Mytilus edulis: one gene and its partner. Each later gene encodes a partner of the first gene's protein in a complex. Links are inferred from orthologs where the notes say so. Each region holds a gene or a part of one and is shown on either strand. Other genes may lie near its edges.

Region 1 (17,340 bases):
CTTTAATACGGTGCATATTTGCTCATATGAGTTCTTATTCAATACATTGAAAATACATTTTGAATGTAAACAACAGAGATTTTTTTAGCCAAAATGTTTATATGCCCATTTATGGGCATTATGTTTTCTGATCTGTGCATCTGTTTGTTCGTTCGTCTGTCCGTCCTTTAAAAAAAATATCTTATCTTTGTGATCTTTGTTATTTTAAGTTTAATCATATGTTGATGAATTCAATAACCGTAAGTTATTATATTCGGTAACTTGTGAACCACTATCATATCAAACAACACTGTCATAATATCACTTTTCAAATTAATAGGGCAACAACAACAAAATAGCACAGAACTACTGTAAAAATATATTCACATCAGATGCATACAATTGAAAATGAGTTCTACTTTGTAGTATGTATTTTTTAAGCAGGCACAATGTGGTGGCGTAATGTGGAACAAAGTCTATCCAAATCATTTTTGTCAACAATCCCACTCAAGACCTTACTAGAGCAGTCTTAAACTGACAGTGAGGTACCATTATTTTACTCTGTATTGCATATCTCCCTGTGACTTAGGAGATAACTGTATTGTATTTTAAGCTTCGACGGCATCAATAGGGGATTTGATGGTCGCAAATTAAGTTTACTGGCGACGCGTTGCGACCATCAAATCCCAAATTGATGCCGTCAAGGCTTAAAATACAATATTGTTATCTCCTTTCTAATGAAACTGACAGAAAACAACGTTAAAACATGTATTTAAAATCTGTCATATGCTGTCTGCGCTTGCGCGTACGTCCCATAGCATCAATTGTCAATTGATGCCATGTAAGAAAGTGACGTTATCCAATCAAAATGAACGTTACAAACGTTGTTGCATTAGAATTTGATATGTAGAACAGTAATAAAAGCGCTCTTCTTTTACTTTTTGTGTGTTTGTGCTGTGCATGTACTAATTTTGTGCCATAGATGGATTATACCCCATACCCTTTGTTTATCAATTAATTTATAAATTTTTATTATAAAAAGACTTAGGGACTACTAAAGACATGAGATCCATGATACCTTACTATTCAACTATGTATAATTCTTTCTTACCTTTTCATACAAATTTATATGATTCCGTCTTGCCTGCTGTAATTTTATTACTTTTAGTGATCCTTTGGCTAACACTTCATCTATCTGCTGTACTTTATGCCTGTCAAACATATATATTCATTATTATTACCTTGGTTGCAATGAATTACATTGATTTCCCAGTTAAATAAAAACCGATAATTTCACATGTGAAATAAACGTGGTTATTCCATTAGTTATTCTATAACTACAAGTGCTCACTAACCATAATTTCACCTTGCTTGTGCAGTATTTATTTTTTTCAACATACACAGCTGTTATCTCAAAATAATATAGTTTCAAGCAACACTATGTGTCAGGAAACAGATAAAGGATCAGCTGTAGACTAAAATACATTAATATAATATACAGAAAACTAACAAGATGTTTGACAGACTGAATATTAGATGTGTAAATACAACATGAAGGCCCATGTCTGTAGATACTAGTATATCACAATAATTCAGCCAACTAGAACAAATATAAAATGAATATGTAAGAAATAATTATCTGACAGTTTACAAAATAACCTTTCCAGATTTGCAAGCATTACAATAAAATTAGGAACAAGCTCAATTTTGTATTGAGCAGAGCAGTTAAATCCCTCCAATAGCTGTGATAGAATTTAATGCTATGTACATGTATTCATATATCATGTATATCAACTAGGACTGGGAGGTCTGTGTCTATATCACTGGTAAAGAAATGAGCAAAATAAATAAAGAGAATGATGTTCAGAAGAAATTTAAATATCCCATTAATAAACTACAGTGGACAATCCATAATGAGACAATTCAACCTGCAAGAATTCAAATAACCTGATCAATATCAACTTATTCCAATGGATGGTTGTATTTCCTTGATAAGATAACATACTACTTACCTGAGTTGTTTGATAGACTGACATGTTTTCATCATATCTTCTTGTAGTTTATCATGAGATGACATAGCTTACATGAGTTGTTTGATAGACTGACATGTTTTCATCATATCTTCTTGTAGTTTATCATGAGATGACATAGCTTACCTGAGTTGTTTGATAGACTGACATGTTTTCATCATATCTTCTTGTAGTTTATCATGAGATGACATAGCTTGAAAGAAGGCATCAGACTTGGTAGATATCTGTCTGGCTATATGAACTTCTATTATATCTAAATAATGACTTAGCTAAAAAAAACAAAAGAAACTGTCTCAATTCATTTATTCATAAAATCTTTATCAATAGTATCACTTCTATGTAATGATATATATAGTAATGGCTATAGGAGCTATAATCTAATTAAGAAATAATTCATGGGGGCTTGAGTATATCGTGATTTTACCACGGGTTGGCCCTTTATGACAAATATTTTACCCCTGAGCGATAGCGAGGGGTAAAATATCGGCATAAAGGGACAACCCGTGGTAAAATCTAGATATATTCAAGCCCCCATGAATTATTTCGATTCTGATAGGACACATACGGCAATTCTTTTGGATCGAAGCGCTCTAGGTGTAGGCAAATATTTGCCGTTCCCATAAATAAACGCACTAATAAACTAGCGTAAAAGAACGGAGCAAACTGCATTACATGTATAGTGACATGCTTAAACTATTTGAAATAATGTATTTAGACAGTTTTGGATGAATTTGAATGATAATTTATTTATATGTCTTATATGATGTACAATAAAGGGCTTTTGCCACATTTTAGCATCATTTGTGTATGTTTCCTTGTGATGATTTTCGGATTCACAAGCCTGTATTTTCCCGTAAAATGCTTACATTCTAACGTCATTGTTCTATGACGTCGGGTATCTCATTCATAAAAAAGCATATGACGTGGGAGTACAATCGGAACAGCACTGGCAGGGTTTCCCCTGGGTCAATTATTTTTTTCGCCACCTCTTTCGCCAAAACAATATATTTTTCGCCACTTTATTATTTTTTTCGCCAAGTAAGATATAACTATATTTTTCTTTAAAGATTTACCTTTTTTTCTTACACCCCACCCCCTTTTTCCCTTAAATGAGGTGATTTTGCCCAATTGTGTCTATGATTATTCTAGAGTCTACATTTAATGAATAAACACTAAACATTTACTTTAAAACAACAGATTTTGTTTTTAACATAAAAGGGGAAAATATTCATTGTATTTTAAACAACTTTTCTAAATGAGGGGGCCACTATACTTTTAATAATAAAGAAGATATAAGTCCTGGAATACAACAAAATTAATGGACAGGTTTTGATTATATAATACCAGTATAGTTCATAGGGAAAGTCTCTTTAAAAGAAAAATATTGATGTGCCCTTTAATTTTGTACTAAGAAGTGGTTTTTACAACAAAACAAAAGCTTTTATCACATGATATTTTGATCCCTCATTTCATGTGTAGTCATATTAACATTGAAGGGCTACTCTCATTCAAGGGGTTGTTCCCAACCTTTTGGATAGATTTCTTCATAACGGCAGGTTTCATTTTTTGACCATCGTAAATGAAAAAGTTGAGACGTAAAACTATGCTTGAAACACACGTGTCACTCAAACGACTTTAAAGTAGTCTCCCTTTAGAATCAAATACCTTTATTAAAGTCAAAGGATAATTAAAGTTTTAAATCGGAGATTTTTCTTGTTTTTGAAAATTTTTCGTCACAACAACAGCTATCTTTTCTAAACTATCTTTAAAAAGAGAGGAGACGTCAAAAGTTTGCTTCAAACACGTGCGTCGCAAAGTGGTAAATAAATTCTGTATGTGACATTTAGCGGAAGCCATTTAACCATATCATTTTGTCAAACAATTCAATCAACACCTTTATTAATTAGTCCTTTGTTGTCGATAGCTATAAAATGCAATCAGCTGATTATTGATTTTTTTGTCCAAATCTTAATGATGTCAAGGTGAATTCCGAGAATTGTCTGATAGGTAAAGTCTGAGAAACTCGAAAAAAGTAAATAAACAAGATGGAGGAAAATAAATCGTTCTATATATTTCTTTCGCCAAATTCTTTCGCAAATGACGAATTTTTATCGCCACAATTATTATTTTTTCGCAAATTGCGAAAATGGCGACCGCCAGCGGAAACCCTGAGCACTGGCAATATATTCATATTTTACCACGGGTGTGTACTCAAAGCGTTTGAAGGACGTCATGTTAGAATACTGCATTAAATTTTGCAAAGTGTATTTTGTTAATACTAATTAACAGCTCATGATGAATATTTGAGAAAGATTTTACTTCATGGGAGTCACTCTTTTTTGGAAACATTATGATAACATAATGAATAGAAAAAAATCCTTTATTAGTAATATGGATGAGCAGTGCCATGCCCTGTTTTGGACTTGTGAGTGACTAAGTGTCTTCTTATAAAGTCTTTATGAAAGGTTATACTATACATATACATTTTAGCAGCAGTCAGAACTGGACATTATTTTTTGTGAAAAATAGATTGTTTTGAATACCAAAATTAAAAAAAAAATATTGATAACCTTTCTACATTGGTCATGTTGGTTGTGTAAATGTTTGAAAATATTATATCATAACAAAATATACCTTTTCTTGCAGTAACTTTGAGGACTGGTGACCGGGTGAAGACTTTTTAGAATCTTCTATCATAGACCACGGAAATACAGAATTAAATGTATCTGTGTGTTCCAAATCAAAATTCTGTAACAGGTAAAGCTGAAACAAGACATAATACATAAATAAATATACACAACTGCAATGTATATTGAAATGTGTAAAATGAAACATATCAATCATACAGTATATACAAATTAATAATGTATTATCTGCATTTTCATACTAACAATTTTTGTTTTCAAGAGTTTTTGCCTAGTTTCTACAACTGAAAAATAAGAATTAATAGGAAGAACACTAATTAATGGCCCCATTGCTGTCTACATACATTCCTCAATTTCAAGCAGGCACAGTTCCTTTGTTTTTAGTTCAAATAAAGCAACAATCATTATATGTCAAAACAACTCTTATTGGTTTTTTGTACTGAAAAAACAACATACCATTAATGGCACATTAGAAAGAACTGGTTCAAAGAACTTTGAAGGTACCAAAAATAGGTACTTCAGATCTGACAAACAGTCAAAATGTATCCCTTTTTTAAATTTCATGCATTTTTTTTATTATTCAAAATCATAAGTCAAAAAGTGTTCTACAATGACCACCAGCCATTAAGTTTTCATTTGATACCAAAAGTACCTAAATATTCTACATATTTTGAAAGTCACACCCAAGTGTAGGAACTATTTTGTGTTAAAAATGTACTACTTTCTGGTATATGGTAACCAGGCCCAAACTAATGGTGTTAAAATAAATGGTGTAATTTAATTTTGGAACTGCTAATAAATCCATTTAAATGTGTTTTGTAAAATTTGTGACAAATAATTCAATAAATCTTGATTGCTGTTCATTCTTTTTAAGAACTATTACAATAATCATTCAATAAATCAATTTATCTTAAATTTAGAATTGAAATAATTAATTTTGCCAGAAAAAAAATGACAAGTAGTACATGTATAAGATAACATACAACCCTCAATAAAATAGTCAAATCAAGTGCATCCCATGTGATGTCAAGGCATATAACTCAATATGGATTTCATACAGATTATGATACATCATTCTCTTGAAAACCCTTCATTTATGCCTAATGCTGAAATGGGAGTCTTAGGAGAATACTAAGTCTAATAAAAAAAAGAGTGTCATACCTTTGGAATTTCTTGCAATTCTGATCTACTCTTTTCTGAAAAAACAACAACACATCTTCACATTTATAAAATATTTCATATAATAAAAAATAAAAAATTAAAAAAAAGTATTAATCCTGTCTAATGTCTGGTAAAAATAATCTTTAAGATATAAACAACCTTTATTTCAAATGGACCAAAAAAAACCAGTTGTTTTAGTTACTTAATATCTGTTTAATAAACTTTAAGACAAATATTTGCTTCTTAGTATATATGGAAATCTATTACCAGTACTTATATCTAAATTACAAAATTGACAATTATTCTTTGATATGATAGTCTGTACAGTCTATATTTATAAATTTTGGCAATTAGATTTCTAATGCTGTTCTGTTCATGTAAATCACCCTACATAAAACAAAAAAAATTATTTTAATGCATGTTTGAATTATCTTAGTTGTTTATAAAAATGCACAATAGACAGAAAAAAAGATTTTTTTTTTGTAACAAAATTATCGTATTATTATTTCTCACAGTCCATAAGTAACCTCACCTAACTGATGTAGGTATGTCTCACCACTAACTGAATCAGAATTACTTGTACTTCTGATGTACTTCTTGTATCGCTAAAATGTAACAGCAGAATTACAATAGTTATAATACATAAAACAATTGTAAATGTCTATGAACTCAAATTCAACAATATGACTGACTATTGATGAGAACTTCTCTTTTAAGTTATATAAAAGTATTTCTTATAAACCTAATAAAATTTCCACATCAGGTGGAAATATATCAGTAAGCTGTTAGCATGGTGAATTTTTTTTAATATAGTACCATATGGATAGGGACAAGATATATAAGAACATTTTATCATGTTTAATTTTTTTCCGGAGTCTGTTGGTTGGGTCTCATTAAGGTATACCCCACAAAGCTTTTTATACAATTTCTAATTTACATGTCATCTTATGAAACTACAATTTCAAGTTTCTGAGTGTCATTGTTTTCAAAATACATATAATTATTATTAGTCTTGAAGTACATTTAGTTCTTATCATACATCATATTTACTTTTGAAATCCTATTTTTATATTTCTCAAAATATTTTCTGCTGATATCTGGTATATAAGTTGATTTTGGAATATGTGAATGCTCATAAAAATCTTGTCCCCAGGTTTTAGTGAAGAAGTCAGTCTCTCTCTTTGTTCTATTGGGATCATTTAATGCTGCTGGTAGGTTAACTGTAGCATTGTATACTGTCCATCTTAACTGATCCTGTACAACTGATGGAGCATTGTCTGTCGCTGAAGGTGGTGGTGAAGCTTCATTATATTCAAGACTTCTGTTCCTACCATGTGCTAGAATTTAAAAAGGAAAACAAAATGTAGTGCAGATGTACATGTACATGAACTAATATTTCTAAATTGTTGAATACTGTAATTATTGTATAAAGTGAATTCTAATTCATAAAAACAAAACGTGTGACTTATTGATGGTGTTGTATTGATACAAACATGAAAAAGGCGAACATGGTTGAAAACAGTCTTAAGCTTGTTATTGATCAACAATTTTTTTAATAAAATACAAAGAAATATGAATTTCATTCTTTTTTTATATAAGGGCAAAAAATAAATTGATAATTTTTTTATTATATTGATAGATGAAGAAATTAAGCATTTATTGTAAGGAAAAAAGTGATTGTGTAGTTTTTATTAAATATTAAGAATATCTTTAAGATGATGTATGCATCTGTTTTCATCAAATCCCGTGATTTACAATATTTGGCCAACGTTCATTAAAAAAATTACGTCATCAGATAAAATTTGTTCTACTTAAGTCAAATTTATATTAGATTGAGATAAGTTTTGCTCTCATCCTTGGCAGTGTGCTTGGTTCAAATTCAGCTATATTTCGTAGCAGAAAATTTTTCCTTTATTTAAAATAAGCTATTTTTGGAAGGCATGCACGAAATCACCGGACATTGAAGGAACTCTCAGAACAGGGGTTTCTCTTATTTTGAACACACGTTGCACAAAATCTTGGGGGTGAAACCAAACAAACAGATAGTTTTATGAAATAAAAGTATGTTATGAATGTTTTCACACAATATTATCCATTTATTTGTTTTATCAGTTGAATGAAGTGAAGTCATAAGTCTTAGGTGCGCAGATACACCGGACTGCACCGTACCAGTATTGTGGACAATACTGGTATACCAGTATTGTGGACAATACTGGTATACCAGTATTGCGATCACCAATTACAGGAGATCCTTGTTCCCAACCTGTTCATTGGTATTGTAGAGCACAGCCTTTATTTGTAATTTTCCAATGTTATTTATCTTTTTTTGTGTGTTGGTTATGTTATAAAAGTAAACGGGAAAACCTACCATGCAAGTGCTTTCCTGCATGGTCTCTTGTTATATGATTTTCGTAGTCCATATCACTGACACCCTCTAGAGGTAGTGATGGACATATATTATTTGCTCCATATCTACAAACATATGATCCTCCTTCTTTTGTACAATGGCTTTGACGTAAATGACGACAAAAGTCTTTGGAAGATTTAAAGTCTACCAAACACAACCCGCATCGTCTCCAAGGTGAAATGTGTGCACCTTGTACATTATTTACAGTGGTCATTGCAGTCAATGTTACTTCATTTTCAATTAATGAAGTACAGTCTACATTATTTATAGGTTTATGTCCTAAAATGTGGATTAAATTGACATCGATTTGTTTTTCGGTTTCAGATTTTTGTTGTTGGACGTACTTCCGGTGAAATAAATTTAGAACCAATGACGGTAAAATATGTCTTAAACCCAAAAGAATAATTAAAAATATAGACAGCCACAACGGATCAATACCATATCTTTGCTATTGACAGTGGCTTTGGATGACGCCTGAATGTTTGACTTTGAGATGTAGTCCAGTCAAACTAAGATTTAACCTCAAACTAATTGCAACAGAAAATGTTTTAGTTCTAATCTATAGCAGTATGCCCTTTATACATGTATCCACAGAAAAAAGTCCCCGGCATACAATCTAACTTGAGGAAAACACAAAATCATCATTTTTTTTATTTCCTATGGAAATTAACATTGGAAAGGGAGATAACTCCTGCAAAATGAGTCTTTTTTGGTCAGTTTTGGGTTGTTTTTCTTGAAATTTATGTAAAGTATGATACTTTGAGGGGCCGGTTATAAGTTTGTATTTGACTAAATTATATAATCTTTTGCTCATGAAATGTATAAAACCGAAGTGTTATGGGTAGTTTTATTTTTTTCGTGCATTTTTCATCAAAGATATTGCAAATTTGAAGCTTTGTAACCATTTTGAAAAAAATAATGTGGAAATTTGGTATTGTTTATATCTGTATATTATATTTTTTCAGCAGCTTACTTATCTAAAGAAACTTTAAACCACAAAAAGAAGAATACATGCTTAATTATTTTTTTATTAAATTTGAGATTCTTTACCTTGACATGTTGAAAAATTCAATAAATGGTCATCTAATGAATTACGAAATCTAGATTATAGCTTGATAAAATATATGAAAACACGTTTAGAGTTGTTTGTTATACTCTAAAGACCGCTAAAAAATCAAGAATCAATACATTCTGATGAATAGAAGCAGTAAAGTTATAATTTTGTATCACTTTTTATTGATATTTCTGCCTTTTTTGCAAGAGTTATCCCCCTTTGCAATGCAAATCTCCATAGGAATTTTAAATGGTGATTTTTTAAGTCTACCTCAAGTTAAATTTTATGGGACTTTTTTCTGTGTGTATTTGGGATATAATGCTAAAGATTGAAACTTAAAAATCTTCTGTTGCAATTACTTTCGGGTTAGGGTCAAATTTATGTTAGATTGAAGGCTGGACTAATAATCATATGAAAATTCACGGAGATTCACAAGGAATGTATATCAACTTTAATAATTAAACTCACTATTTCCAGGGCTTTTATTTCCTATCAAGATTTCATTGATATAAGATTGTGCTGCTCACAAGGAACTGCAGTGGCTATTAAACAAACAAAGTGGTGAAGTTGAAGTTTTACGGACGCTTTCATGAAAAGGTTGACCGTTTCGGAATATCTGTTTCACTTTAACTTCAATTCCGCCCATTTCACAAAATGTCCCATGATCTATCTACTGATTAGACATATCAACGGGTTAGTACCTATACACGGGCAACACGACGGGTGCCACATATTGAGCAGGATTTGTATACCCCTTCCGGAGCACATGAGATTAATCCCAGTTTTTTGGTGCACCATTGTTTTTCTGTTTGTCCATTATTTTTAGTTGTCAGTATATGATTTTCGTCTTTTCAGTTTAACGGTCTCTTTGGTATCTGTTGCCTCTCTTTTCAATTATAATACATATTGCATGAAAACCTGCTGTGTTCTTAAAAACTGTTTTCCAATACTGTGGTTTTAACGTTGGATTTCTGTTTCATTGAAGTAGACGCATACATCTCTTTATTTTCATATTCTTGCAGTTCAACTACGCCAAGGTCGAGCATGTCGTTCCAGGGTGTTATGTCTTGAATTTTAAAATTTTGGTTTGCGAGAGCATGAAGCACCGTTATGCTTCAGTTGTTTATTCAAATAAAAGAAATAAGAACAAAAAGTGTGCAGTTTTCGAATTAGATTGTTCGTCTATGCATGCATATAGTTAAAACGTTCATGAAATCCTTAAGTAAAGATAATAGCAATATCTAGAAAAATGTAGTGAAATCGTCGTTAAGGTGTTATTGCCGCGAAAGTCCGTCTGTTTTAAACTTAATAGTAGGTCATGACAAATTAGAAAACATCACCTAGTAGAGGATGTTGGAAGATTTTAAGTATATCTAGAATGGTGCCCGTTTAAAAACTTAGATAATTTTTATACTGTTCAAAATCCTTGGCATATTAACTCCCTTGATTTATTGTATCTACTTGAATTTTTTTTTAGTCAAATGCAGAATAATTTCATAGTTATCTCCCATTGAACATGAAATGTTGATGTAAGGAAAGTTTGAAAAACAGCGTAAGCTATAAGGTGTATATGGATAGAAAACGCATTGAAGAGGGGTCTTTGATGGTAGAACTTTATTTAATCGGACTCAGCGTATCTACAATACTAAAATAACGAGGTCCAATTTGTCAGCCGTGATGTGGTAAAAACGGCAAATAAAAGAATTCATTTTTATATATATCCAATATAGGACAATGGTGTTGATTAAAAATTACACCACTCCAGACTTTTCTTTTTTTGCCAATAATTAACAAGTTCCGGGTCGAATCCGATACCGATACTAATAGTATATTCACCTGTTACCTATTACCTTATCTGTACGTCCCGCATCTAACAGGCGCACCACCAACGGTGTATTTCAGATTTTGCTATATAAACGGGTCGTAATCACAGGGTTGACACTACTGATTTCATTCATTGTCAAATTGTTTCTATTGTAGTATTTTAATCAGTAAGACTTTCTAAGATGACAGGTACAGTTTTCAATTTGTTAGCAGGCATGACTTAAAACAAGGAATCAAAGAATTCAACTTTATTAATAACTAATATAGGACAATGCTGTTAATTAAAAAAATACTCCATCCCAGGACCTTTTGTTTTCAAATAATTAATATTACCAATAATTGATAAGTTCAAGGTCGACGGGTTCAAACAGAAAGATTTAGAAAGCAGAGAAAACTGCGCGTCTTACAATCGGCATGACTTTATCAGATGACAATCCCAATACTAAAATAAGGCTTAAACATAGTTATATTCTTTAATTCAGTCACGGACCCGCGATTTCACGGGTGTGCTCTAGTAACCATTATGATTGTCATTCCATTAGAGAATTTGTCGAATCTATGAACACTTTTGAGTGTTTTTCTAGAATTTCAATGTTTGTTCATGTCTTTGAGATAATTTGTACAAATTTCAAACTATAACTCTATCCTTTAAACCTGTGTGTCCAGGTTTCAAACAAATTTTTACGATTTCCTATGTTCTGATTATCCCCCCCCCCCCAACAGTTATGATCATACTTACATTAAATATTTCATGAGGATTCCATATCATTGACAAATAACAATCACATTTTGTTTAGTTTCACAATACCGGGCAAACATCATTGATCGAACCTGAGTTCCATTATATTGTTACAACAATGCTGAAAAAATTAAAACAAAACAATCGAAAAGTTAAATTTGGTCGTTAATTTCATGGTTTTGGCAGTTATATTTTTCAATCTAAAAGGGTTGTATATAAGCTTCAACGTTATGTACACTTGCTTTAAGTTTTGTACGATTCAATTATAAATCGCTTCCAATTTTCATACAAGAAATGATTTGGTTGTACTGATAATTTTGTCGTCTTTTTTTCTTTTTTTCACAATTGCATTGTCAGTTTATTTTCGATAGGTTAGTATGACTAGGATATCGCTATATTTAATGAATGGCTTTTATTTTTTTTGAATTTATTGAACCATAAAATTAATTTTTGACTCTTCACATTTAATAATCCGCTTCGCGGATTATGTTAAATGTGAAGAGTCAAACATTAACGAAGCGGATTATTAAATGTGAAGAGTCAAAAATTAATTTTATGGGTTAATAAATTCAAAATAAATTATTGCCATTCATTATAAATAAATTTCTATCAAAAATAAGACTCAAAGAACTTTTTATATTATTCATATTAACAATAACAACGTACACACATGTTGGCGTATAAATATACAACGTCAGAGTGGGTGTGTCGCCATAAAAATTGACAACATTGAAAATAAAAGTAATACTTTTAACCAATCAAAGGACAGTAAATATACTATATGTATTTATTACTGTTAAAACGTTAATGTTTGATATATGAAACTGTTTTAATGATAATGTTATCACGGAAAGTGTTAGAAATATAGTTTTGACGTTAGAAAAGAAGTAGGACCATTCGCTTAAATTATTTCACTAAAAAAAAAACAACAATAAAATAATGTCAACAGTTTTGAAATAAAAGTGTATATTGTTCGAATCCCAAATGCTTGCAAAATGGATCAATTATTTGATTCGCCAAGCAAAGTTGTGCTTGAACAACTCTGTAGATTTATCAAAATTAGAATTGTAAAAGTCAGTCAACCAAGCTAATTTTCTTGTTTTTGAACATGTTCATTATTCACACATTCACATGATGTTTGTATCATATTATGTATGTTTTCATGTAGCTATGTTATAGTTTATCAGAATAAATATTTCGTTCATGTTCACTCATTGATACGCGATATTCTAAGAATATTTTACATATTTCAATAAATTCAAAATGTAATCCAAACGTGTTTAATGTTGCCTGAATTTACACGTTTTTCTGCATAGAAAATATGCCAGAATTAAGATTATGCTTCCTAGCTAGCCAATAATTTGAATGCAATATATCTGATTAGGACAAGCTTGAAATATTGTTAATTTGTGAAAAGCGTATTTTCCATTTCAAATTATTTACGTCACTTAATTTTTTTTATTTACAAAACACAGATCTTAATATAAAATTTCATAACAAGACAATACAATGCACACATTCTTTTGTGAACTTAACATTCCGGAAATGTTAACAGAAAATCCAGTCGTCCAGAAATATGATCAAGATAGATTTTCATTGTGGGTGCATGCTTACTATTAAATGCTAAACTGTAACCCTGTCGTGTTAGTTTGTTAGTTTGTAATATTTTAATGCGTTTCCCTCAGTTTTAGTTTGTTACCCCGATTTTGTTTTTTGTCCATGGATTTATGAGTTTTGAACAGCGGTATACTACTGTTGCCATTATTTAGCGGGCTCTGCATTATTGATATCTACGAATCATGTTTATTCCTATTCATATCATTTACCAAGATTTGCATTTATCCTATCTACAAACGTATAAATAATATTTTACTTCAAACAAGATGTAAACATTTCCATATATATGTAAAAAAGAAGATTAAGACACTATTGTATTATATGCTAACGGTTTGATTAACTTTGTTAAATGAAGCTTTTTTGACAACATATGAATTAATATGCATGTAAGGTTAAAAAAAAGTGAGCCACACGTGTAAAGTCTACGTTTTTGAAATTTGCATCTTTGCCAACTATAAGTCTACACCTAGATCTTGGACTTCAAAAGTTACAATGGATGTTAACGAAGCAAGCAACCATTCAATCAGAATTTAATTCCTGCCTGTAATTTTATGATTCAGTCACGAGTCAATATGTTCTCCAAATCCTCAGTTTTTCTATAAGGAAAAGATTATGACGGACTTTTTTTTACATGAAAGCTACCATGTTTCAATAATGAATTGAAAGTGATAAATACAACGAATACATAATTATTTCTACACATTTTAAAGTTGGGGAACATAAAATTGATAATGAAAATGGGTAATGCTTTATTTGAAAATGCCGGTACCAAGTCCGATATATGACAGTTGTTGTTCATTCGTTTGATGTGTTTTATCCTTTGATTTTGCCATTTGATTAGGGACTTTCCGTTTTGAATATTCCTCGGAGTTCAGTATTTTTGTGATTTTACTTTTTGCTGATATTAACTGCTTGACATGTGTTTGTTGGCACATTCACAATTACAAGGTATTAAAATTAATTTGTTTCATTCTATTCGCGTTTGCAAGTGTTATTCTCATAAATGGTGTCATCAACGGTAGCAGAAAAATACCCAAGGTATCTACTTCTTCCAATGCGTCATATAGTGCCAATGTTAAAACATAATCATTCAATTAATGTTAAGGTTGACGTACATAGATGACTATTGTTCTAAACATAGTTGCTATAACACAAGTGGTCTTATATAACACAAATAATAGACATGCGATTTACAATATTCATCAAACAAGGAAAGGATATTGATTAATTGATTGTATTTGATTACTGTCCAGTATCAAATAGTTGATACATATCAAGGACGACAATAGAGTCGAAGGCAACATGTAAACTAAAAGATTAAACACGAATTCTTAAATTCTCTAAGGTAATGGCAAGCTTAGAGAATAAATGTAAACACACTATTAGAGCGAATTCACCCCATCTAAAAATACAGTCTTACTGCGCATACAACAAATAGATCGATAAGACATACACAACTGAATTAATGAGAACAAAGTTAACATGTTTACTTATTCGAGAATAAAAAATGACACAGCCCACTTATTATAAAAAAAGGCGTTTTCTTTTAAAAAAGCAAAACTTGTTTTTGTATAATGTTTGGTGAATGTTTTGATTTTCTTCCAGTTGGTTAACCCTCTCACACTCTTTCCCCACTGGTAGATCCTGACATATCAACGTATAATTTCAGTATGTATGCTCAGCTGTTCTTGAATATGAGCTATCAGGTATCATCGAGGCAAATGGTTTAAAAGGATGAGTGCACACTTTTTGATAAACAAATGGTGTGCTGCAACGAAAACTCAACAAATCTGTCAGAGACAACTGCATTTTCCCCCCTTTAAAGCCAATTTACTTTTATTATAAGCTTAACTATATAATTATTTTTTTCTGATTGCTTTACAGTAGTATCATCATGAACTTGATAATGAATATTCAACTTTAATCAGCTCCAATCGAATGGCTGATACATTAATATATAAAATCAAAGAGCCCGATTTGATTCTGTTGATTTATTTTATTTCAAGAGTAACATGGTATATTGTTAATAGTGAACATGAAACATATATTTCAGCTATCTTTTCGTCATCTCTTTTTTTCTCTACCAGTTTTTTTGATAAATTTATTCATACTATGGTTTCGCAAAAAAAAAAATATATATATATAAAAAAAAATAAAAATTCAAAATTAATGAAGTTATAATTGTATGAGAAAAAATGAAAATCACCAAAAAACCCAACTCCGAGGAATATCCAAAATGGAAAGTCCCCTATAAAATGTCAAAATAAAAAGCTCAAACACACTAAGCGAATGGATAACAACCTGCATGATTTTATAGCTAGCTTAACCTCTCACTTTTCTGACAATCAAATAAAATTTCATTAAACTGACTGCGATGTGTGAAATAAACAAACAGGCATATAGATAAAACGTCAAAATAGGGAAACAACAGTCAACATTGTGGTATAATCTGAATTACTAAAACGCAAACAAAGAAACTCAAAAAGGCATATAAACAAAGAACACATGCAAAACTGAAAGTCAATAATACAAAAATTTAACATAGCACAATAACACAATTACGGGATATACAAGTACCGAGCCACGAGAAGGGGAGAAACAAGTAGAAAAATATTGCTTCAGTATTCGCAATAAGTGTTGAGAACTGTTAGCATACACGAATAAAAGTGATTTTTTTTATCTTGTTGATGTAAAACTTCATGCTAAATGCATATAGTAGAGGTATGCATATATCAGGCATATAGTAGAGATAGCCTGATAACATTAGAAAGACAGGTTGATATATAAAACAAAACAAATCAGCTGAAAAAAGTAACCAAATCTATCCCACAAAAAAGACCACAAAACAAATATAAACAGCTGAATAGTTAAAATGATATATCATTTGAAAGAGCGATGAATCATACCAAAAGGACATTCAAACTCGCTGGATGAAAATCGACTGATAACGCCATGGCGTAAAAAGTAAAATGACTAACAGACAAACAGTAGTACATAAAACACAACAAAGAAAGCTCAAGACTGAGCAACAAAAACCTAAACAACAACTGCGGGTGATCTTCAAGTGTTTTAAGTATTATAAATTAATTGTAGTATTATTGTTATATAACACCATAATAGATGCCTTACACAATGAAGAATGAAATACTAGATGAAATCCTTGGTCGAATGTAAACTGTATTGTTAATTTCCGCAAGGGTTTCATGTTCTATAATTTTAACAGGAAATATCAAAACAGGAAATATCAAACATACTAATGAAGTGAGAAAAAGTATGTTTAATTCCTTCACATCTAAGTATTTACTGTAGATTACATACCGTTGTTGTGTAAGAAAAGACAACAAAACTGTTTTACAGTAACAATACATACTTTATGGTAACATATGGTTAATTCCATATACTATATAAACCGAGCCATATAATCCAAACATCATATCCTCCAACATGGCTCGAGGGATATGCATACTCCTCTTGGTGGTAGTAGCGGCAGGTAAATTATGCAATCAATATTTCACAATTGTTTGGCACTGAATTTGATAATTTCAAAATGTCCGAAATACTTTTATAGAAATTTCTAATTAACATTGATTCTGCATCTCAAACATATGTCAGATATTTTCTCTTAGAATTCAAAAAGTCAATCACATCTTAAAACTATATGTTTCGTTAGTTAAAACATATTTTATTGTACGAAAGCGTAACTACCGGATGAGACACAAGTTTTACGTTTCATAGTAAATGTATTAATACTAAACTTCATTATTACTAATATTTTGATTGAATTGTTGATAGTTAGTTGTTTTCTGAACTTCAAGTGGTATATATTTCATGCACATTTAGGACAATAACAGAGTAACAAAAGAATAAGCATGTTTTGTCTGCAG
Region 2 (17,348 bases), on another chromosome or scaffold:
TTATTGTCAAAGAGCTACTCTGCAAACTATTTAAAATCCTACAATTGTTTATGATAATTATCAGATTACCTGTCTATTTTTAAGTTTTACATTCATGGTAACTGACTGTTCTTGTAAAGTCTGTATTTCTGTACTAATACTACTCAAATCACCCTGGAAACCATTTAACATTTGTTCCATTCTCTGAAAATGTAATTACAATTGTTGTGTAAAATTATCCATTAACCACAGGTAAGAAAACCTATTTTATCAGAGTTCACGAAAAGTGTCAGTCCTCAGGATTTCACCACCAAAATTTTGCATAGGACTGGCACAATTTTAGTATTTTTCAATAGATTAATAGTGAGGACCAGCAGATTTTCTTCAAGGACCAACAGGGGAAAAAAGATTTCGCAAACTCTGATTTATTATACAGTAGTAAACTTGACCTTATGAGCACAGTTCTCATTGAGAGTAGGAATTAACAGAGCTGCACTCTTTTAAAGTTGACCATAAATGTCTGAAACATGTATATTCCCTTAAATGATAGAAAGTTACCATAATACATGTAGTTAACAAATTGTGACACTGTGCTTAGCTTAGTGAATTATATCTAAATTGGTTTTTGATAGGGTCTTTAATTCAATTTTTGGAGAAAATAATATATCATATATAATTACCCGGTATATGAATAAAATGTATGTGATTTTTATAGAATGAAGATAATAACATCTGTCTGAACTTTTTAATGTTTCATTTTAGTATATAAAAATGTTTTTTTGTTAAATGATGTATTGTTTTATGTGTACATGTTATGCTGCCCATCAAGGGCCCTTGATTGGAATAATAAATATTCTTATTGAATGAATGAATGAATTCTTTATTTGCAAAGCAGTAGTAACATGCTATAGCAACACAAACATATTTACATTGTGAAACACAATAAACAACAGAAAACAATATAATTAGATATTACAATAGACAAATGATCAACTTATTAGATGTGATCTACAATGTAATCTGCCAGGCAGATTTCAAATAATTACATAGTTTTCCAACTAAAGATCTAGATTTTGTTTGATACAAATACACAATTTTGTCACATTTGGCCACGAACAGTAATAATTTGGTAAAAACTGTAGCCATACATGTCTATACACAGGACACACTAAAGTAAAATGGTACCTATCTTCAACAATTTTCATATTACAGCAAGTACATATGATAATCTGTTTTCTCTTAGTATATTTGTATAATGCCCTACCTCAACATTTAACTTCATAGTACCACTATGTAGCTTTGTGAATATAATCTACGTAATCTTCAAAACAAAAATATAATTTTAAAATTCTGTACATAGTAAGTTTCTCACAATCCTGTATAGATGCAAACCAGCTTTGGATATATTGATCTTTTAACCTAGTTTTTATTACATCTAATGATATATTTATACCAGACTGCTGGTACCATACCAAGTTTAAACCAATACTAAACAATAGGTCTCGGACATTAGAAACCCACTAGTTTTACCAGTATTTGCATCTCTACTTATTCTTATATTCTTATTCTTATTCTATATATAAAGTAGTTTATTCTATTACCATATAGTTAATTCTATTACATTGTAGTTCATTCTATTACAATGTAGTTTATTCTATTACAATGTAGTTAATACTCTTTACAGTTAAATAGCTTACCTCTAAAATGGTATCACAGGCAGATATCTGTTTGTGTAAATTTGCTATGTCCTCACCCTTCTTAAGGTCTTATTAGTGTTAAGGTCAATGATGGAAGTTTAAAAAAGAAATTCTCGTTCAACTGTTTACAAAATCAATATGGCTTAAACTTATATAAATGGGGAATGTGTCCATGGGACACAGATGATGCCCCCACTGCTTATAAGATTTTAAAGAGACAATACTCAACAAATGAATAAGTGACACTACCCAATTTAAACTTAACCTGTGTTTTGTGGTAATAAGCATTGTGAATAAGTTTCTTAACATTTGCTAGAGGTAAACTTAAGTTAGAGAACAAAACTAAAAAAATTAGCAATTTTTCCAATTGTAAAAGGACATAACTCAGTAAAAGTGAGGCCAACAAAATTTAAACTTGATCTATGTTTAGTGGTAATAAGCATTGCATATAAGTTTCATAATATTTATTTGAAGTGAACTAAAGTTAGAAAAAGGAACAAAAAAATTCAGCAATTTTTCCATTTATAAAGGGGCATAACTTTAGAATAGTAAAAGTGATGCCACCAAAATTCAAACATAAACTGTGTTTTTTTTGTAATAAGTATTGTGTATAAGTTTCATTTCATTTGGTTGAGGCAAACTAAAGTTAGAGAACAGAAATGAAAATTCAGCAATAGTCCATTTGTAAATGGGCATAAATTTATAACTCTAGACTGGTGAAAGTGGCACAACCCAAATTCAGACTTGATCTGTGTTTTGTGGTGTTAAATAAAATTGAGAATGCAAATGGGGAATGTGCCAGAGAGACAACAACCAGACCAAAGAGTAAACCAGATACTCCGCAGGGCGCAGCTTTATACGACCGCAGAGGTTGAACCCTGAATGGTTGGGGCAAGTATGGACACAACATTCAAGCTGGATTCAGCTCTGAATTTGGATTGTGATTAAATAGTTGACACAACAAAGGTTTCTGACACATAATGAATGTGGTCTCAGAACTTAAAACTTAAAAATTTTAAATTTTAAATCGGACATTACCTATTATGGTCCAATATCCAAAATCAAAATACATGATTAGATTCAGCATATCAAAGAACCCAAGAATTCAATTTTTGATGAAATCAAATAGAGTTCAATTTTGGACCCTTTAGACCTCAATGTGGACCAATTTGATAACCGGGCCCAAACATCAAAAATCCAAATACATGGTTAGATTAAGCATATATCAAAGAACCCCAAATATACAATTTTTGTTGAAATTAAACAAAGTTTAATTTTGGACCCCAATTTGGACCAACTTGAACACTGGACCTATAATCAAAAATCTAAATACATGTTAAGATTCAGCATATTAAAGAACCCCAAGGATTCAATTTTTATTGATATCAAACAAAGTTTAATTTTGGACCACAATTTGGACCAACTTGAAAACTGGGCCCATAATAAAAAATCTAAGTACATGTTTAGATTCAGCATATCAAAGAACCCCAAGAATTAAATTTTTGTTGAAATCAAACAAAGTTTAATTTTGGACCCCGATTTGGACCAACTAGTAACTGGGCCAATAATCAAAAATCTAAGTACATGTTTAGATTCAGCATATCAAAGAACCCCAAGAATTCAATTTTTGTTAAAATCAAACTTAGTTTAATTTTGGACCCTTTCGACCTTAATGTAGATTAATTTGGAAACGGGACCAAAAATTAAGAATCTACATACACAGTAAGATTTGGCATATCAAAGAACCCCAATTATTCAATTTTTGAGGAAATCAAACAAAGTTTAATTTTGAACCCTTTGGTCCCCTTATTCCTAAACTGTGGGGACCAAAACTCCCAAAATCAATCCCAACCTTCCTTTTATGGTCATAAACCTTGTGTTTAAATTTCATAGATTTCTATTTACTTATACTAAAGTTATTGTGTAAAAAAAACCAAGAAAAATGCTTATTTGGGCCCCCTTTTGGGCCTTAATTCCTAAACTGTTGGGACCAAAACTCCCAAAATCAATCACAACCTTCCTTTAGTGGTCATAAACCTTGTGTTTAAATTTCATTGATTTATATTTACTTATACTAAAGTTATTGTGCAAAAACCAAGAATAATGCTTATTTGGGCCCTTTTTTGGCCCCTAATTCCTAAACTGTTAGGACCAAAACTCCCAAAATCAATCCCAACCTTCCTTTTGTGGTCACAAACCTTGTGTCAAAATTTCATAGATTTCTATTTACTAAAACTAAAGTTATAGCGCAAAAACCAAGAAAATGCTTATTTGGGCCCTTTTTGGCCCCTAATTCCCAAACTGTTGGGACCAAAACTTCCAAAATCAACTCCAACCTTCCTGTTGTGGTCATGAACCTTGTGTTTAAATTTCATAGATTTCTATTCACTTATACTAAAGTTATAGTGCGAAAACCAAAAGTCTTTGGATGCCGATGATGACACCAACGTGATACCAATATAAGACCAAAAAATTTTCAATGTTTGCGGTCGTATAAAAACAGCCAAAAGCCACCAATAGGCATTAAACCCACCAAGAAAATAAAATGCATTCTTAAACACAGTTAAATGATATTAGGTCACTATTTATAACTATGATTGTTTAACCTAGGTTTTTCAGTATGGATACAGTCTTGTATTGATTGATTTTCTACACCTAGGAGTTCCTTCTCTACATTTTTGGAATACTGTCTTAAATCCACTCCCTGAAAAAAAATATGTGAGAATCATGTTACTTTTATAATTAGATACAAAAAGATGTGGTATGGGTGCCAATGAGACAACTCTATCTCCATCCGAGTCACAGTTTGTAAAAGTCAAATGTTTTTTTTTATACAATATTTTTAAAATTCAAGTTGCATTGTATTTATTTCATGCATTAAACTGAAGACTTTCAAAGGTTAAAATGGTTAATGATGTTTATTTTCATTCATTGGATTGAAATAATCAATGATCACTGATTGTGAAGACTCCAAATTAAAGAAAGCAATTAAAGCTTAACTATTTATAAAAGATGTTTGTTTTGCGTAACCCGAGTTGTTTGTTTCTGTCTAATTGATGATTACCTAAATCCTTTATGTGTATGCTTAACTATTTAATTGTTATTTTATACTATAAACATCTACGCATATTTACAATGACCACATTACAATCATTACATGAATATACATACAGTGTTCAGGGCTTCTTTGACAATTTCATCTTCTAGATTCTGTTGTATGTGTACTGTAATAAAAAGAAAGAATTTCCTACACACAGACATATTCAACATAGATACTACAGCAGATTGTGTCTATCACATCTGATTATTAACAAACACTTGCATTCAACTAATTACCTATATGTATCTTCCAAATAATCACATTTGAGTATATATAACAAACACTTATAAATTTTCTTTATTGTAACATCTCTACAACTAGATAAGCTGTCAGCAGAACTTGCTAACTGCCTCCAATTTCTTAAATGCTTACAATATGGCAAATTTATGCTGCATTTTTGTGGATATTGGATTTCACAGTTTTGCCCAAGTCGGCATAAATTCTAATGGACATTTTTTCAAATGTTTGACATTGGAATTCCTGGTTCCAACCAAATTAATAAAGAAATTGGTCTCCAAGACTCCAATGAATAATAATAAATCCATAGTAGACATTTCTTTCCATTCAAATACTGATAAATTCTACATTTTGTAGCTCTTACCATCAACCTCATCAAGCCAGTAATCTTCAGATGTAATATCTAGCTCACCAAGGTTTAAATCCATAGTGTCATGGGAATCCATGATCTGTAAATAAATAAGACATATAATGTTTATGTGAAAATGGTTTCATTCTTTAAAAACATTCCATCATCAAAAATAATCAAGCTTTTAACATGTTTAATGGAAAATTTACTGTTTAAGAATGCAATAGCAAACACACAGCCAAGAGCACAGAACTGAACACTTTGATTCTGAATAAATGTTACCAGTAACCTAGATGATGTACTACAAGATTGTGTTTGTTTTTAACAAACAAAAATTTAAACTGTGTCTCTCTAAAAAAAAATGTACATCCTGAAAATAAGTTAAAAAAAAGGTAAAGTAATTAAAATCTGGAGAATATCAAATGAATTTTTAGAACCTGTTAAAAACTGGTCTTTAATTTCAAGAACTGGTCATACATGTACATGTAGCTATTGAGTTCATGTGCTGCAGTGCATCCCCTGATATTCTTTTTTTGTTGTTGCCTTGAGTCCACTACAAACCTCAGACTGACAGAAGACCAAACATTCTTTCAATATAAAGAATATTATTGCTATATTCATAAATAATCAGTTCCTTACCCAACCATGTATTCTGGTAATTAGACTCCAATGTAACAATAACTTTTTAAATATTTTAAATTGCAATGTAACCAGAGCAAGTGCCTAATAAAAACATAATCAACATAGTTGTTTTATACTATCTAAAGAAAATATTTTTCAAAGGCCTTTTTTATTTTTTTTTAACATACACCTTTTACATTAATAAAAATCATAAACATTTATGAATTACAATTAATATATATCTTTATTCTTATTCCTTATAAATAAATATATTTTTTATTGGGGCCGGATCGACTTTACATATGGGCCGGATCAAAGTGGGGACGGATCGACGTGGGACAGATCGACTTGGGCCGGATCGACGTGGGGCAGGATCGACCCGAAAGTCTATTGTCTCATAAATAATCAATTTTACTACAGCTATGTTAGTATATTTAATGAGATAATTGAACAATTTAGCTAAGTTAAGTCGTAACCACTTTATCTTTTTATTGTATTGCTGAAGTGGTACATGACCAAAACGACCAAGGCAGTTCTGAGAACCGACACAGTTTTTTTTTATAGTCAGTGATATTTTAAGAATAACTATAGTAATATACCCATGTAATTCGCTGAATGTACAAGTAAAATTGTGTGATAAAGTTATGTTTCGACTGTAACTGGACAAAATAAGCAATAAACTGTCCAAGGGATTATATCTTGTAAATTTTAACTGTCAGAATGTATCACTGGCAAGAAAATTATCTCCCTTCATTTGTTACTACTTCCTTTTCCGGTTAAATCTTCAACATGGTTAGTTAGATAGTGCTAAATATCTGAAATATATCCATCCTTATTCGAATAATTTGAAATCATCCTACCCTATTTTTCATAAGAATAGCATCATAAATTATTAAATAATGTCTTTTGCGAATAAATGGTGCACAGGGTATATGCAGAGAGATCCTATTATGGATATAAATGGGGGTCCTCTAGTTCGGGACAAACGACGTTAAAACAAGTTGAAGCCCTGAAAAATAAAACTCCAGATAAAACACGACGAATCCGAATAAGTATGCTTTTTCTCTAAAGGTTTATTGTGATTTAATTCAATTGAACCAACCCAATTTAGATTCGAAAGATAATAATATATCCATGTAACATAGTTTATAGCCTATAGGAAGGCTGATGTTCTATATCTTGTTCTTTACATTGATGAAAGTCTTACCACCTTGCAGAAATATGTGTCCCACGGGTTGTGTTTGGTTCAACTTTTAAAAAAATAAGATCTATGAGTTTCAGAAGTTGTCCCATTTTCAACCCATTTTGATTATTTGGGTGAATGTTAACTAGGTCAATATTGGATCTAAAATGTCATTTTATTATTGAATTATTTTATGTATCTGTTTAGTTGCATCGATAGTGTTAAATATATTTTTATCTGTTTTGTAATAACAGTTTATCAAAATTAAATGTTTTAAACATAAATGTCTGATTTATATTTTTTTAGGCATTGATACTGCCAGAGAAGTTTCAACACATTCTTCGTATTATGAATACGAATATTGATGGTCGCAGGAACATAATGTTCGCAATGACTGCCATCAAGGTAAGCTTAAGGATGACTGATAATTTTGATAATATATAATAGACTAGTTTTAATGCTCCACAAAACTGCAAGACAAAAATAGATACTGAAAAGCCCTCTGAGACTTGCATGTAGCATGAAATAATTTTGTATTTAAAATATCTTTTTAACCAAATTTTTCTGTTCTTATTATACACTGATGAGTGATTAAATATCTCTTTGAAAACTTTTGTATATCAATATGGTAAATAAGCATTGTTCTTTATTTTTCCGATGGATTCAATTTCAATATCTTTACATATAAATGCTTTTCATAAACTATATTATTGCATAGCAATATAATATTTCCAACAGAAAGTAACCAAAAGTTAGCGTGCAATAAATTCCAATATTGCACTAATGCATTAAATCTTCAAAATTCATGACGTCATCAACGACATAATCATAGTTTAAGGTTCATCATAACAAACGGACAAATATGGCTGTATTTACATGCCAAAAATTACTCTGAGTACAGACTTACCTGTAAAGTTGGAAAAGTTTTAATGCCTAGCATCCACTAGATATGAAAAAGTTAAATCCATTTTGTGTTTCAGAAAGATAAAATTTCTTTTGGATTTTGATGGGCATTTTTTTTCCTTCATGCAAAAGGTGTGAAAATTGACTAAGTTGTGGAACAACTATGAGATGCTCCCTCAGGTAAAAAACCGGTTTGTATTGTTTTCATTGTCCTTAATTGACATGGACAACAGGTATCTTGACATCTATAGGTGAGTTAAAGAGTTTATCTGAGTCAGTGAGTGGACAGTATCAAAGTAATGCAGGTGTTTGTTTATTTTTGCACCTTCTGAAGAAAGGAAAAAAATGCCCAGCAAAAACCAAGAAAGATTTTATCTTTCTTAAACACAAAATGCATTTAACTTTTATATATCTAGTGGATGCTAGGCATTAAAACTTTTCAAACAGCACAGGTAAGTCTGTACACAGAGTAGTTTTTGAGGTAAAAATACGGCCATATATGTCCATTTGTTATGATGAACCTTAAACTAAGTTTTACTTTCAAATATTATATTGCTATACAATAAAAGGGTTATTGCATGAATATTGGGGAATATTGTCCCTCGTAGAACATATATTGCACTCGCAAGCTCGTGCAATATAAAGTTCTACTCGGGACAATATTCCCCAATATTCATGCAATAACCCTATAATACTGTACTAAATGAACTGATACTTATAATCTTGTAAAGAGTTGGATCAAAGATACATTACTTATGAATAAGATAATATTGGTGTTTTATTGTTTCAGGGTATTGGTAGACGTTATGCCAATGTTGTTTGTAAAAAGGCTGATGTTGACATTACCAAGAGAGCAGGAGAACTCAGTGAAGAAGAGGTTTGTTATAATTAAATACATAATTAAATGGAAAGACCTAAATATATAAAAGTTATGTAGTTTATGTTTCAGAAAATTGGGAACTTGTCTAGATTTGGAAGTGCATTTTTTTCCAGTCTGTAGAAGAAAGCGAAAGAAACAAACACACACAAGTTTCATTTGATACGGTCCAGCAAAATAAAGTTAAACAAACACTGTTTACACACCAGTTTCATTTGATTCGATCTCAGTACTCAGAATGAAATTTATGGTGAAAATACGGTCATATTTAAATTCCTGAAAAAAATCGTTTCCAATCCAGATCCGTATCTTACTATGCCCAAACAATCAAAATGGCTGCTCCCAGCACAAATGTGCTACAATTAAGGTTTAAAAAACGTCGGCATAGGGAGGAGAAGTCAATTATAGCTTCTTTAAAGAGATCAACTCATTTTGGGGGACAAGACCCTAACCAAACATGACATTGAACCGCCTGCAAATCTGACAGGGAGTGCAAAAAATAGAACAAAAAACCTACCGACCCTGAATTATTCGCCTTGGCAGCAGGAAACGGACATATATGTTTTTGGCCTTATTAGCAAAATGGTTATAACGAACCTTGAATGGTTTGTGCTTTTACCCCTAACTTTTGTTTGTGTAGAAACTGAAAAAAATGTTTTTTATGTAATGAAACAACGGCTTGAACCTGTATAAATTAGCATCAACATTTACAAACAAAATTAACATGCATCTACAAAATTTATATGAATTAAACCCATTAGGGTTATGAAGAAAACACCATGTTGTTCTGCACTCTGTTTGTATAGAGACAGTTGCATTGAAATGTAAATAGTTCAAAGGGGTATGCCACCCATTTTTAGGTGTTGGATAATTAATTATCCATGTTTGCACTTATCTGTCTCCATTGATCAGATAGGGATTATTATAGTTCTATTACAGTTATTTTGAAATTCTCCTTTTGAAAAAAATGATTTGCATTATTGTGTTTTCCACCTTGTAGATTGAAAAGGTCATCACCATCATGTCCAATCCAAGACAGTACAAAATCCCTGATTGGTTCCTCAACAGACAAAAGGATGTCAAGGATGGAAAATTCAGCCAGGTTATGTCCAATGCCCTGGATAACAAACTTAGAGAGGATTTAGAAAGACTGAAGAAAATCAGAAATCATAGAGGACTTCGACACTACTGGGGGTAAGCGCTACAAATTCTTGTTAAATACTCCCTTAGATAGCAGCAATTCTTTAATAACTTGCTATATGAGTCTTTAAAGGCATCAACCTAGAGTCTAGAAATAGTAATACTTTTGGAGGATTAGATAAAGAAGTTTATTATTATTGCCTACAAATATAAGCTGGTTTAAATTCAAGTTGAAAAAAAATATTTGTTATGCCATGCCTTAGTCATTATAGATCCCTCTTTCTGATAGCAACACAGTCAGATTCATTTGTAAGTGTCTGTTGAAGTTTGTTTGCCCCCACTGCAGCAGAGGGTCATTAAGATTTATGATAATACGATTACCATTTTAGTTGTCTCAACCAATATTTATGAAACTGGTACAAAATGCTTATTACCACAATTTGACAAAACACAGATCAAGTTTAGTTTGGGTCAGACTTGGGGTCAATTACATTGGAATGTAATTAATTAAATTACACATTACATTGCAAAAATGGTCAATTACACTAATTACACATTACACAGTTTTTGAAATGTAATTAATTAAATTACAATTACTTTACTAAAGTAATTAATTAAATTACACATTACATTTCATCATGATATTTTTTAGCAAATAATTTACATGTTTATATAATGCATGTGTAAAATTTTCATGTAAGCAGAGTTTAAGCGTTGCATTTGATAATCATTTAATATAGTTATTTTAATGTTTTGTCAATTATTCTGAATCTCTTTGGTCTAAAAACAGCAATTGTACATAGTCTATTTTAATGTTTTGTCAATTATTCTGAATCTCTCTGGTCTGAAAACAGCAATTGTACATAGTCTTTCGACAGGAGCTAATATGGTAAAAGATATTGTTTGATCAGGACATGGAAGTTTTTCGATTAGAAGATCATTATATTGATAGGAGAGGGAATTTGTTCCTATTAACTTGCTAATACATCAAGGGGTATTTTGACATCTCAGAAATGAACTCATTTGAATTAAACATAATATGAATAAGGAAATTATAAATAAATTTAAAATATTTTTTTATTTTACTTTAAAAATATAAAAAAGTGCTTGTCACAATATTGAAAATAATTTTTAGTACAAACAATGTATATAATGTCTCAATATTAGCAATATTTTGCTAATTAGATAAAATATCTGTAATAGTGGCATTGCCTCTGGACATTTTAATCTGATTAATTGCTGTTTGTTTTTACAGCTGTTAATTTTTATTTCTATAATCCTTTTGTGTATACTAATTTGACAAAATGATTGTATGCAGTGATTTTAAATTCTAAATGAACTGTCTCAGAAAGATGTTTCACAGTGACACATTTTATTGTTTTTGTTTAACAAGGTGCTTATTACTTATTAATCTATTTAGTTAAAGATCTTTCTTAAAAACTGAACAACCCTAATATATATGATTATCACATTTTTTAAATTATAAGACTATTAAAAAAAAATCTGTAGGTCAAATAAAATATATAAAAACTTAAGAAAAAATTACAGACTTCATATATTAAAAAAGCATTGATATTAATATTTGAAAAATATATATAATTTTACAAATTATATTATAAAACACAAATCCTTAACTGTAACGCCATAAAAGTACATGTAATTGAAATGTAATTCAAAAGTAATTGAGCATTACATGCTTTTTTCAATGTAATTAATTAAATTACCATTACATGTAATTAAAAAAATGCTCAATTACACATTACATTCAATTACATGGAAAATTGTAATGCATTACACTTAATTACCATTACATTTTTAATTACCCCATCCCTGGTTTGGGTTGTGTCACTTTTACAGTATCATCTGTGTCTCGTGGACACAATTCTCCATTTGTTAATTGCTGTATTTGATGCCCAAGAAAAATCCTACATTCTATATCATGCGTACGGAATGGGTTATAGTGATTACATATTTTGTCTATTTTCAGATTGAGAGTCAGAGGTCAACATACAAAGACCACAGGAAGACGTGGAAGAACTGTTGGTGTAGCCAAGAAGAAGTAAAATTGTTAATAAAGGCAGTGAAAGGACTTACTTGTTGCAATATCTTTTATCCATGGCATGTGGATTGTCCAAAATTTGTCTTACATTTATATGTTTGAATACATTGTTTACATTTACTGGTTTGCAGGATGCAAAAGCTAGATTTAAAACAGATACATCTAAAAAAAAAAAATATCAGCTTTCCAACTTCTTTTTTACCTGGCCTATATTTTTTTGTGATAGAAAAGTTGTTCTATTTATGTTTTATTTACGTTTTATTTACAATCTATGGGATGTCAGTATATTGTACCAGTATTCCTCACATACTCATAACATGCAAACACAAGTTTGACATGATACTTTAATGTAAGCTTTGGGACCCACAGGAATATTGTGTCACATGACCTCCGGTGCATATTATTTTTTTTTGGTGGTTGAATTCTAAGGAAAACCCAAATTGTCATTTCTGCCTTCTGGTCAAAACAAAATTAGGGGGAAAATCTATAAGCTATCATTTTGATTGTCGAGTCTGGGATTTCTGTTGCTAAATGCATGACATAGGGTCAGAAGGTTGAAAATCCTTGATACTTTGTATATAGATGCCTTATGTTATGAAGTTTCCTTCGGTCATATGTCCATTGTCATTGACCTCATTTTCTTGGTTCATTGACGACTTGAAAAAAAGTTAAAAATTTAATTATTCCTAATTTCACTCTTATGATTAATCATATTTTGCAAGGTCTGCATGCCTGTCAGACAGTTTTTACTTGAACTCTTCCTTATTTCATGGATCTGAACAAGGTTAAGTTTTTGTCGAGTCCATATCTCAAGATACTATTCTATTAGCAAAAGGTCAACTATTATAGTATATTTTGTGTTTGAAATGACTGTATAAAGGTGTACATGTCCAACTGGCAGGTGTCTTCTGACATTGAACTCATTTAAATGGTTAAGTTTTTGTGTTTTGGTCTATTTTTCTAATGTATGCAATTGGTCAACTATATTTGGCATATGAAAATATTTTAGGATATACATGTCAGTCAAGTATGGTTTATTTGACATTGACATCAAATTAACTATTCATTGCATAATGTTGAGTTATTGGTCTTTTTCTAAAACTTAGGTCAAATTTATTTGGTGCATGGAATGATTGTAAGATGCATATGTCTGTCTGGCAATTGTCAGCACACCATGACCTCATTTTCATTTTTCATTAAGTTTCATGGTTAAGTTTGTTCCTTTTATAATATACGCAATAGGTCAACTATATTTAGATAAAACAAGTACACACCCGTGATACCGCGGGTCCGTGACTGACTTAAAGTATATATAACTATGCCTAAGCCTTATTTTAGTAATTGGTATTGTCATCTGATAAAAGTCATGTCGATTATGAGATACACAGGTTTTTTTGCTTTCAAATCTTTCTGTTTGAACCCGTCGACCTGGAACTTATCAATTATTGGTAATATTAATTATTTGGAAAACAAAAGGTCCTGGCTATCTAGGAATGGAGTATTTTCAGCCATTTGATTATGACCCGTGTATATAGCAAAATCCTAAATACACCGTTTGGTGGTGCGCCTGTCAAATGCGGAACGTACAGATAAGGTAATAGCTAACAGGTGAATATACTATTGGTATCGGTATCGGATTCGACCCGGAACTTGTTAATTATTGGCAATATTAATTATGTGGAAAACAAAAGGGTCTGGAGTGGTGTAATTTTTAATCTACACCATTGTCCTATATCAATTCTATATAGAGTTGAATTCTTTGATTTGTCGTTTTTACCTGATGACGGCTGACAAATTGGACCTCGTAATTTTAGTATTATAGATACAAATGAAACTGAGCTACTGCTCACTGATGATACCCCTGCCACAAGTGTGTTAAAATATGCAAGTGTTCGTTAAACAGGAAGTTGTTTAGTGATGAATCTGAAAATGCATCACACGGTATAGCTGACTTGTATAAATCCTGAAACCAAATTTCAGAAATCCTTGTATTGTAGTTCCTGAGAAAAATGTGACGAATATTTTCAACTTGGTTATCATGTGTAAAATAGTACAAGGTTTGGATGGACTGACGGACAGACAGAGTTAAAACAGTATACCCCCTTTTTTCAAAGCAGGGGTATAATAAGAAGATGTGGTATGAGACAACTCTCCATCCAAGTCACAATTTATAAAAGTAAACTGATATAGGAAAAAGTATGGTCTTCAACATAGAGACTTGGCTCACACTGAACAAGCTATTAAGGGCCCGAAAAATTACTAGTGTAAAAATATTCAAACAGGAACACAATGGTCTAATCTATTTAATAAAAAAAACCACTTATAAACCACATCAATAAACAACCACTGAACATCAGGTTCCTAGGTCCAAACAATTGCAATGAGTTTAAACGTTATAGGTACCAACCTTCACTCTTACCTGAAACAACAGTTACACATCAAAACAAAGAAAGACACGCCCTAAAATATCAATTGAGATGGCTTAACTCAAATAAAAGACATAAACACTAACAAGAGAACATAACATTGAACAAACAAATTTGATTTATGTGATGATGTAGTTTCAAAATCAATAAAATATAACCAAGATGTTATACAATATCAAAAAGACAACCATAACCTTCAACAAAATGCCGCCACATAAAATAATGAAAATAATTTTGTTGTAAGGTATAAAGTAATGGAGAAAGGAATATTTTTTACAATGCATAGTACGAGAACAGGAGTTAAAAATTATAGTCATACCAAACACTTAAAAATTCTGGTATATATTAAAAATAAAGAGAGAAAATGGTTTCAATCGTATAATAGCATTTAATGACTGTTAACCGTGCAAGGGCTATGTAGCCATTCAAGGTCGTTAAAACTTCCAATTTGTCTGCCAGGAAGGGTTCAAATCAAATATGTTTATTTCCAAATCAAAGGCCCTTAAAGGCATATCAATTATAAACAAATAAATCATAGACAAAAAACATAAATACATGTTTAGAAATAATATCAAATTAAATATAATATGATATTAAAACAAAAGAACAGTTTATACGACATCATCAGTTCGACAAAAGAAAGATAACTCTTCACCAAATGTTATTAAAACCTGTATTAATTTTTACTTGTATTATTTCTCACTTCTAAGTTTGAAGTCAAATATTTGCATAAGTTTTTAATAAAATTATCATCATTAGTCATAATCAATATAAATAAGTTTTTTGAATTAAGCATTCATAGTTTTGGATAAATAAATCATCAAGTAAAATGGTACTTGAAGTTACATATAGAGGACATTCTAACAAAAAATGGAGTTCATCCTCTGTCACATTCAAATTACAATATTGACAACATTGATGAAGTCTTTCATCTAAACTTGACCTCGTGTTCATTGTTCACTGATCAATGTTAAGTTTTCTTAATAAGTTTGTTTCATAAATACTATGTGCGAAAGGCATTAGGTCAATTATATTTAAAGCATATTTGGTGTATGGATGATAGTTAGGTGTACATGTATTTCCAGTTCAGTTTATAATATATGAGCTGTATCTGATTTTCTTGGATCATGTTAGTTTATCAGAGACATGTAATACAATTATATGTCTCTGAGTTTATGTAATAGTTGCAGTAAAACTTTATATTAAGGACTATCAACATAAAACCAATGGTAAGTAAAGAAGGCAAAACAAATCGGTATGTGCACTCGTGTTTCAACTTGTAATGATTATGAATTGGTGGTTACTCTACTTTTTGCATTTCCCATATACTAAAAAAAGAAGAAATATAGAACAGTGAGAACAAAACCATTGTTGAATTATCAAACTTTACCATTGAAACCAAAATGTGTTTTTATTACAGATTATGATATGTCAACTTTGCATCCCAGAACAAAACCATTGTTGAATTATCAAACTTTACCATTGAAACCAAAATGTGTTTTTATTACAGATTATGATATGTCAACTTTGCATCCCAAAACTTTTATGCTCTAACAAAGTGGAGGGGGCATTAAGCCTGCCCTTGTATGTCCTAAAGTTGGTTTCCGTTCTCAGAAACTTATACACAATACTTACTTCCACAAAACAGATCAAGTTTTACTTTTAGTGGTGTCACTATTGTTTTCTCGAATTATGTCCGTTTACAGAGGGGGGGGCAAGGGGTTTAACTGTTATGCTGTTATGGGACAATTTAATTCTTTGTTATCTGTTATTTTGAAAATATATTTGCTGTTAGCTGTTATTGTCTTATTCTTTGTTAGCTGTTATTGGGCTATTAGTTTTTTTGTTATCTGTTATTGTGATAATGTATTTGCTGTTAACTGTTATTGAAAATTGGAATGTTAGCATTTTTTTTTTTTACATCCAATATTCGGTAGAAATTGAAGATCATTGGACATTGGGGTCTACCACTACTAATATGTTTGTCCCGTATTCAGAGAAGGATTCCATTAACATTTACCCATCACAGAAGTGAGGTCCAGGACAATTCAAGTATATCTTATGATTATCCTTTGTAATAAATTCCATTTTTTATGAATGTGTATTTAGAATTATCTTAATTTTTTGTATGAAAATAGTGTTCCTTGTTTCCCGTACGAACATATTAAATTAAAAATAATTCTTAATATGACAAAAAGGAAAACATATGACCAGGAATATCTGACAAGGATCTCAATTAAGGACTAGGTCCTAACAACCAGTTAACCTTTTATATAATATGGTACATAGACTCAGCTCTGATTCTTTTCAAAGCAGAACCAAATGCATTGTACAATGAAAGTTCCAACCATGTACTTGGGTCCGAAGCTGCACATAACTCATTACAAACAAAGATTTCTTTTGTTTCAAGCCATTGTTTCCCTGCTAAACTATGTATTCTACTTACTAGTACACTTGGTACAATCAAAAACCTCAGCTGGTAAAAAATTGTTCAAATAAGGCCTTTGAAAATAGTGGAATAAATTGCTTTTGGAGTGTCAAAATTCGTTCGAAGTACTTGATAAATTGCATGCTTATAATTGGTGCTTTTGGTTTTGCTACCCTATATACCACTTTGCCTCATAATCTTATTAAGAAAAATTCACACACCTCATTAGATGGTCATTAAGAAAAAGTCGGAATATTCAAACTCTTTTAGGTCATTTTTTTATTAGCAACAAAGGGAGCTTCAGTCAATATATATAAACAATACACCAACGTTTCATGAGAACTGCTGA

The links.
Region 2: vacuolar protein sorting-associated protein 54-like (region 1) and vacuolar protein sorting-associated protein 52 homolog share a complex: the UniProt entries of both Caenorhabditis elegans proteins name them as parts of the golgi-associated retrograde protein (GARP) complex. The link is inferred for Mytilus edulis from reciprocal best matches to the Caenorhabditis elegans genes vps-54 and vps-52.

The regions. Positions count from the first base shown.
Region 1 is NC_092346.1:48,261,097-48,278,436, forward strand, and holds the start of vacuolar protein sorting-associated protein 54-like, read right to left. Parts: upstream 8,588-17,340; 5' UTR 8,437-8,587; coding exon 8,184-8,436; intron 7,153-8,183; coding exon 6,866-7,152; intron 6,421-6,865; coding exon 6,348-6,420; intron 5,851-6,347; coding exon 5,816-5,850; intron 4,773-5,815; coding exon 4,644-4,772; intron 2,279-4,643; coding exon 2,136-2,278; intron 1,191-2,135; coding exon 1,091-1,190; intron 1-1,090. Other genes in the region: uncharacterized protein, read left to right, coding at 16,901-16,946. UniProt on the Caenorhabditis elegans protein: Acts as a component of the GARP complex that is involved in retrograde transport from early and late endosomes to the trans-Golgi network (TGN). The GARP complex facilitates tethering as well as SNARE complex assembly at the Golgi.
Region 2 is NC_092345.1:52,795,660-52,813,007, forward strand, and holds the start of vacuolar protein sorting-associated protein 52 homolog, read right to left. Parts: upstream 6,871-17,348; 5' UTR 6,856-6,870; coding exon 6,844-6,855; intron 6,776-6,843; coding exon of another isoform or gene 6,773-6,775; exon of another isoform or gene 6,583-6,772; intron 5,463-6,582; coding exon 5,378-5,462; intron 4,901-5,377; coding exon 4,848-4,900; intron 4,381-4,847; coding exon 4,305-4,380; intron 1,745-4,304; coding exon 1,677-1,744; intron 184-1,676; coding exon 70-183; intron 1-69. Other genes in the region: small ribosomal subunit protein uS13, read left to right, coding at 6,900-6,911, 7,473-7,571, 8,860-8,946, 9,947-10,140, 12,074-12,149. UniProt on the Caenorhabditis elegans protein: Acts as a component of the GARP complex that is involved in retrograde transport from early and late endosomes to the trans-Golgi network (TGN). The GARP complex facilitates tethering as well as SNARE complex assembly at the Golgi.